Neurospora crassa OR74A: one gene and its partner. The protein of the gene in region 1 binds, or shares a complex with, the protein of each later gene. Links are inferred from orthologs where the notes say so. Each region holds a gene or a part of one and is shown on either strand. Other genes may lie near its edges.

Region 1 (3,509 bases):
GCGCTCGGTCGCAATTCTGAAGGGGGCGTGGATGCTGAGACCAACACCACCTCCCATGGTAATGCCGTCGAGGAAAGCCACGTAAGGCCTGGTGTAGGTGGAAATCAGGTGGTTGAGCTTGTATTCGAGGCCGAAATAGTCGACGGATTTCTTGACGCCCTCGGGGCCCTCGGCGTTCTGCTTGGCCAGCGCGGCAACATCACCACCGGCGCAGAAGGCCTTCTCTCCGGAGCCCTTGATGACGATGACGTTGGCCATATCGGAGCGTTCCCATTCGAGGAGACGGGGCGCGATCTTGCGGATCATGGAGCCATTGAGGGCGTTGTACTTGGCTGGGCGGTTGAGCTCGACGGAGCGGAGATTATATAGACTGTTGAAGAGGACATCCTCGGGCTCGTCACCCTCGACGGGCTTGAACAACTCGGCGGCGGCTTGGGTCGAGATCTGGGAGGAGGGGGCGGCGAGCGTGTTAGCTGTGTCCGTGTCCATGGCTTTTGTCTTCCCAAGGAGCGTCTTACTGGGGCCTGCTGGCCCAGGACTTTGGCTCTGAGCGGCATCGCGGTGAAGCTTGGTCGGCAGCTGCGAGAAGCAACAGCAGAAGCCAAGCCGGCGCGGCTGGCAATGGACTTGGAGACCAACATCGATGTACACTTCGGTAATTGGCTGGCTGGCTGGCTTTGTCTAGAATAGGAATGGAATAACAAGACCCAGGGTCAATATGGAAGAAAAATACTAAGTCCAAAATCCACCCCGAGGCTGTTTAGCACCGTTGTTGCATCATAGACCGGCCAAGGGACTCGGGCACTTTTTTTCGGGACTCGTTTTCCTGGGCTGGGAAAGGGAAAACGGGAGAACAATCACCAATGATCTGAATGCCGCGTGGATGCAGGAACCGTGATAAGTGATAGCGAGAGTATCTGCAAATCCACTTTTTGCTGGAATTCAACGCGAAATGGAGCTCCAGCTTCAATTGATTTTCAAGGGCACCGCGCCTGGCAATCCCCGGGGCGGGGTTAGGTACGGGGGAGCTAATACATAGTGTAGAGGTAGCTGTGGAACCTGCCGAATCCCCGCCGCTATCGCTAGAAGCTGGAATATCCTCCGGCCGATGATACCTCTATCCATTCAAACTTGTCATTTTCCAGAAGCGACGCTCGGGCCCTCCGCTCACTGGAAACCCGATGTCCCGGCTGTCCGGGGGAGCATGTCGGGTTCGGCGGGGCTGGCAGCACCTGTCACCGGAGCGGTCCTCAGCCTTTCGCATTGGGATCCACCGTGAGCTTGTCATCCAATCGCCAAACTTTGAAGACGGTTCTGTTCCCAGAAAAGCTTGGCGCGTGTGCTGTAGCTGCTCCACGCTCCGAGTCGCCGCCGCGCCTGGCCCTCCGCTGCTGCAACATTTCCCGTCGTGGATTGAAGATAGCGATAGCATCCATTACAGCAACTATTGTCCAGGCTTCTACCGTACACCACCAACCCATACCACGCGAAGCAACCACTCGACGTCAACAACCATTTTTGATACAAAGACAAAACTACAACTCATTTGCCCCTCCTACATTTCAGTACCACTCCAATTCAACTCTAGACCAAAACACCATCGTCATGGCTTCAGCGGATGCAAAGATTCAGTCAGTAGCTATCCCACTCTCCAGCATCAACCCATGTGCGCGGGCAGCCCATGGACGCTTCAAGGAAACCAACTTGACTAACAACTGTCTACTATACAGGGAGCTTCTCACGAAGCCGCGCAATGAGCTTACGTACGTTATATCCTCTTGTCAACATCACCTCCCTCTGTTACCATCGTCATCTCGCCCGCCCTGCTGCTCCCAGCTCCTCCTCTTTGCGACCCAAGACCACGACGCCCGCCCAGCCAAATCACAAAGCTAACCAACTCGTCTGATACAGTGAATACGAAGTTTCTCTCCTCGAAGAGCACGAGTTCTCCGCCGGTCCTCTGGTACATATGCCCCATAAGCCTTGATCTACCACCCCTTCGACACGGAGCAGCGACTAATATGACACCCTTTTTGGCAGTCCATCCTCCAGACCGCCGTCCGCAGCCACTCCCAAGTCCTCATTTCCGTCCGCAATGGGCGCAAGATCCTTGCGCGCGTCAAGGCTTTCGATCGCCACATGAACATGGTGCTGGAGAACGTCAAGGAGATGTGGACCGAGACGCCCCGACTGGCCAATGGCAAGAAGGGCAAGCCCGTAAACAAGGACAGGTTTATCAGCAAGATGTTTGTGCACTTCCTTTTCATCTGTTGTTTCTCTCGCCCAGGAGAAGCGAAGATCAATGGCTGACATGTTTCACTTTCCTGGCAGGTTCCTGAGAGGCGACTCCGTCATCCTTGTCCTCCTCAGCTAGTTCACGAATAGCACGGCAAAATGTATAGGTTGGAGGTTTATTTCACTTGCACGGCGAAGACACGCGCCAGCACAACTTAGGGTTAATGGCTCGAATGGAGTGGGGATGAGCCCGGGAAGGGTACCTATTGTTGGTCGACTGAATCGAGAGACATGCGGACTATATCACCTTACTACTACTCAACCGCTCGATCGACCATGATGACGACACAACCACGAAAGCAATTCAAAACGCCCCGTGAAAAGGCGCCGCGCAGGAACGAGAGGAAAGAAGAGAAACCCAAGCAGATTTTCAGGGGCTATTAGGAAGGTCATACAAAGGGAAAACTAGTGTGAGCTCGGCGTTCAAACGTGTATTTGGTTTTGTTTAACTTTTTATCTTTCATTTCTGGTAACTTGATCGAACAGAATACCCAGACCGTGTTTAGGTTTTCGCAGACGCGGTCATGTTTTCTCGTGCTTTTTAACGACAAGCAACGGGATGATTTGTATTGGTGTTCCTGGTACGTCATTGAAATGGTGGTGCAAACTAACTACCTAGGGGTATATCGAGATCACATACAGCACCAATTCTTACGGCAATTCCGCCTCTCTTGTAACCTCCTCCCATCCATCATCCGATCCCTTGGCCTGCTTAGCACTGGAATCATCAGCCTTTTCAATTCCAGCCAGTCCAAGGAAGAACTTGGCCAATCCCCAAGCGCCCGGATCCGGCACCTGCTCGAATCCGGACCCGCCAATGTAGACGGTGCGGCCCAACTTGGCCTTCATACCCTTGGTGCCCTCAGCTCCCTGCTTGGCAGCCTCGGCCGCCTTCTTCACATCACCGGTCTTTTCGAGCGCATCGACAAAGGGATAGAGGGCATCAACCAGGGTGCGGTCACCGGGACGAGCGGGCGTGTACTTGGACAGGGCCTCACAGCTCAGTTTGAGGGCTGCGGCCCAGGCATTTTCATCAGCAGCTTTCTTGTCCGACTCCCCTCCACCGACAGTGTGGAGAGAGGCGACCAGAGCGTTGAGGAAGATGCCGTAGAGAGCACCCGAGGTACCGTCCATGGTTTGCTCGACCACGGTGACGATCTTGGCGAGGTCAATGGCTGCATCGCCTGTTAGGGGGTTGGAGTCGAGATGCGACA
Region 2 (3,556 bases), on another chromosome or scaffold:
GACCCGCGCGAATCCGCCCTGGCGACCGTCGACGCCCGCCTCCGCTTCGGCGAGGCCCTACTCCAAGTCGTCGACCGACTGGGCCAGACCTTCACCGGCGACCTAGCCAAGATGACATGCGAAGCCCTGATCAGCCTGGCATCGCGCCGGGGGCATCGGCCCAAGACCATGGCGCGCCAAGCGCGCGAGGCTAAGGCGCGGGAACAGAAGCATAAAGAAGCCGAAGACGCGTGGGACGGCAGCGTGCCGGATATGGCGGATCCGATTTCTGCTGAGGAGCAGGCTAGGCTTGATATCTTGGAGGCGATTGTAGAAGGGTGGTCGTCTGGTACTTCCAAAACGGGTGAAGAGGATGTAAGGATCCGTGCCTCTGCGTTGTCAATTCTGGCGAATTGCATCGAGACGAATATTGTTGGTGTCGCGGCGGTGTTGACGATGGCGAGCGTGGATCTGTGCATTAATGTTGTGCAGGTAGAGCGGCAGCTGGAGAAGGGGATACTCAGGAGGGCGGCGGTGAGGCTGATTATGAGCTTTATCAAGGCCATGGACGAGGCGAAGCACGAGGGGAGGGTGTTGGGGATTGCGTTTGGGAGTGAGACGCAGGAGCAGCTGAGGACGATTTTGGGGTATGTGGAGCAGACGGACGAGGATGGGTTGGTCAGGGAGTATTGTCGGGATGTGCTGGAGAGCTTGGAGAATTGGAAGACGAATAGCTTGGTGGATGAAGTGTCGTTGAGCCAGGCAAGAGGAGGAGGGTTCGGTGGTGGTGGGTTAACGAAGCTGGCTGGGTTGGTTGTCGACCCGGAGAGGTCGGTTTCCCATGGTGGTGATGATAGTGGTGGAAGTAGTGGCGGTGTTGAGATGTTCGGCGGTAGACCTAGGATTGAGGAGATTGAGTAAAATATCTTCACCCAGTATGGGACTTTATTAATTCAAAATGACTTCCTGTCAGGTCCTGAACAGTCCCCTTCCATTTCGTTTCAAAACATCGGCGTCTTCGAGGGTCTTGACCTGAAGGTGTAAGTGGGCATCGGAAATAATCAGGGAGAGATGTCACCAGGTAAACTTGAGTGAAGAAGTGAAAGAATACACTAAGCTATGTACCTGAGTAATGATAAGCAAAAGGATCGCCATAAAGGTCTTGGTGATGCTCATCATCGTCGCTGTCAACAACATCAAGTATCCTCTAGCCACCAACCCTAACCCTGTAATCTACTAATCAGACAGGCTTATTGCCACGTCCAATCAGCTATCGCGTTAGGGCTCCACATGTCCCTCGTAACAGAGGAACTTCCATCGTCGCGCTACTCCAACGCCGCAAAGGTCCAGCATTGGAGGCACAGTCCCAGTTGGAGCTTCTTCCATCATAGCATCAACGCCAATCCCATCTCTCTTCCCAACTTTTCATAACCATAACCTCGACCTTGTTGCGTCCACCCGACCACAACCCACTCTTACACATCTAAGAAAACCGACAAATACAAAATTCCATTAGCACCAAGCCGAATCGCGAATCCAACTTTCGAGCCGTCCCATCGACGACAACAACAACAACAACAACAGCAAGCCTGTGAATACACACACAAGGCGCCACGCACTTGACCAAGAACCAACCCTTCGAACCGAAACCGACAACATGTCTTTTGTCCCAGTTAACCCCCGTCCCTTCCTTCAAGATCTCGTCAACAGCTTTGTGACGATCCGCTTGAAGTGGGGAGAGACGGAGTATGTTGGCCGTCTTGTTGTACGTATATATATACATATCCAGCATCTTTCTTCCAATCTAGCCTTCCCTTTGCCGCTGGACTTTGGTCTTGGCATACACAGCTGTGGGAAGCGATGGGGAGGGGAGGGGAGGGGGAAACCAGCAGGCAGGACCAAGGAGCAACGAAGGAAGAACAAAGAGAGAGAGGCTGACGAAATGCGTGTGTGCATGTGAACAACAGAGCATCGATAGCTACATGAACATTCAGCTCAGCGACACAAAGGAGTACATCAACCGCAAGTTTACGGGCGCCTTGGGGCAGGTTCTGATCAGGTACGTCCATACTGAATACATCCCACTGCTACGGCTTTCCATACGGACGACCCAATCCCCCATCTCGTATCAACTAGCCGGGATGCTGACATTATGGACTTCAACAATAGGTGTAACAACGTTCTCTACATCAAGAAGGCCGACGAGGCGGAAACAAGTGGCGACGTCAAGATGGAAGAGTGAAAGTTCTCTCGCCACCAGGAGGAGGAAATGAAAGGGTAGCCTAGACTAGCGGGCAGGGTGGTGAAGGGCGCGATTTGCAGAACAGACAGGAGGAATGTGTGAGGAGGGAGGGTCGTGATGTTCCGACTATAATACCCTGGGAGGAAAAAAGAAGAAGAAGAAGAGATGGATCTACTCTACCGACCAAACCAAACCGAGCCGAACCGAAGCACAAACCACAACGCACCCGCTCGCCGAAAACTCGTTTCCCAATGATGAAAGTGTGCGCTTCACGAAAGGTGCGACAACAGCTTTGATGATATCGGGCGCGCATGGTGTGGAGAGTGGTACGGAAGGGCGGATTTGCTTCAAGAGAGAGTGAACGGTGGATGGATGGATGGATGGGTACCGAGCGTCTCTCTGTCTGGTAGAGACCTTCGTTGCATCTCCTGCGCAAGACCGTCAAAGGAGCATGTGCCATCTGGCCTTTCCTTGAAGATAAAGGCTAAAATAAGATGTTGGAACAATACTCAGCTTAACAGGAAAGAAAGAAACAAAAATCTGTCAAGACCACACATCATCTAGGTACTGAGCAAAGAAAAGGAAGTGGCGGGTTGAGTTAGACATGCGGACATGGCGTCTGGTTTCCAGGTATTATTTCAACTGAAAGAAAAAGAGAACGAGCGGCGTGAATTTCTGTTAGTCTCAACTTCCACTTGCCTATACATCACACGACTACAGGCAAAGACAGTCACCATCATCATACACATCGCGCGCCTTCCCAATTATGAACATTCTATCCACCATTTGACTTCGAATCTTTTATTCTTTCGCTAAAACAAGACTTTTGACCTTTTCCTCGCAGCGTTTGTTACAGCTGCATACTTACACACTCCTAACACCCGACCTAGCCAGCCTTGCCCACCACCTACTGGTACCTAGTTACCTCCGTTTTTACATTTCCTCTCTTCTAACCAAAAATGCAGGCAACCTTACGACTGCTATGCATCTCAGAAGCGCCAACCTTGATACGGGTCTTGGGACCCACCCAAGCATACACTTCAACCATCCACTCGTACCACACCCTGGTGTCGTCGGTCTGGCGCCACATGCTGACTTCTAGCTCGGTGTCCTGAGGGAAGTAGAGGGGTTGCTATGTATCGTCGAAGAAACAGGGTCAGTAATCGTCACCAAAGCAGGAGCGAGGAGCGAAAAGTCAAGAAAAACAAGAAATGAAGGAAGAAGAGATAAAAACTCACCCTAAGAGGGAAGAAAATCGGGAACCAGGAAATCATGTCCTTGCTCTTCCGATCAATCTGATCTGGCAAGATACTAATTTCTACTGGCGTCTTGCCC

The links. Proteins that work in one complex are often made in the same cells at the same time.
Region 2: NCU03778 (region 1) and NCU01614 share a complex: the UniProt entries of both Saccharomyces cerevisiae proteins name them as parts of the sm core complex. The link is inferred for Neurospora crassa OR74A from reciprocal best matches to the Saccharomyces cerevisiae genes SMD2 and SMX3.

Annotation. Positions count from the first base shown.
Region 1 is NC_026505.1:2,382,540-2,386,048, forward strand, and holds NCU03778 (small nuclear ribonucleoprotein Sm D2), read left to right. Parts: upstream 1-1,393; 5' UTR 1,394-1,605; coding exon 1,606-1,631; intron 1,632-1,730; coding exon 1,731-1,763; intron 1,764-1,911; coding exon 1,912-1,963; intron 1,964-2,040; coding exon 2,041-2,246; intron 2,247-2,331; coding exon 2,332-2,374; 3' UTR 2,375-2,863; downstream 2,864-3,509. Other genes in the region: NCU03777 (mitochondrial 3-hydroxyisobutyryl-CoA hydrolase), read right to left, coding at 1-444, 519-641; dak-1 (dihydroxyacetone kinase 1), read right to left, coding at 2,947-3,509. UniProt on the Saccharomyces cerevisiae protein: Plays a role in pre-mRNA splicing as a core component of the spliceosomal U1, U2, U4 and U5 small nuclear ribonucleoproteins (snRNPs), the building blocks of the spliceosome.
Region 2 is NC_026502.1:2,951,647-2,955,202, forward strand, and holds NCU01614 (hypothetical protein), read left to right. Parts: upstream 1-1,325; 5' UTR 1,326-1,636; coding exon 1,637-1,744; intron 1,745-1,946; coding exon 1,947-2,038; intron 2,039-2,148; coding exon 2,149-2,221; 3' UTR 2,222-3,005; downstream 3,006-3,556. Other genes in the region: NCU01615 (hypothetical protein), read left to right, coding at 1-900; pp-2 (protein arginine N-methyltransferase HSL7), read right to left, coding at 3,171-3,353, 3,460-3,556. UniProt on the Saccharomyces cerevisiae protein: Plays a role in pre-mRNA splicing as a core component of the spliceosomal U1, U2, U4 and U5 small nuclear ribonucleoproteins (snRNPs), the building blocks of the spliceosome.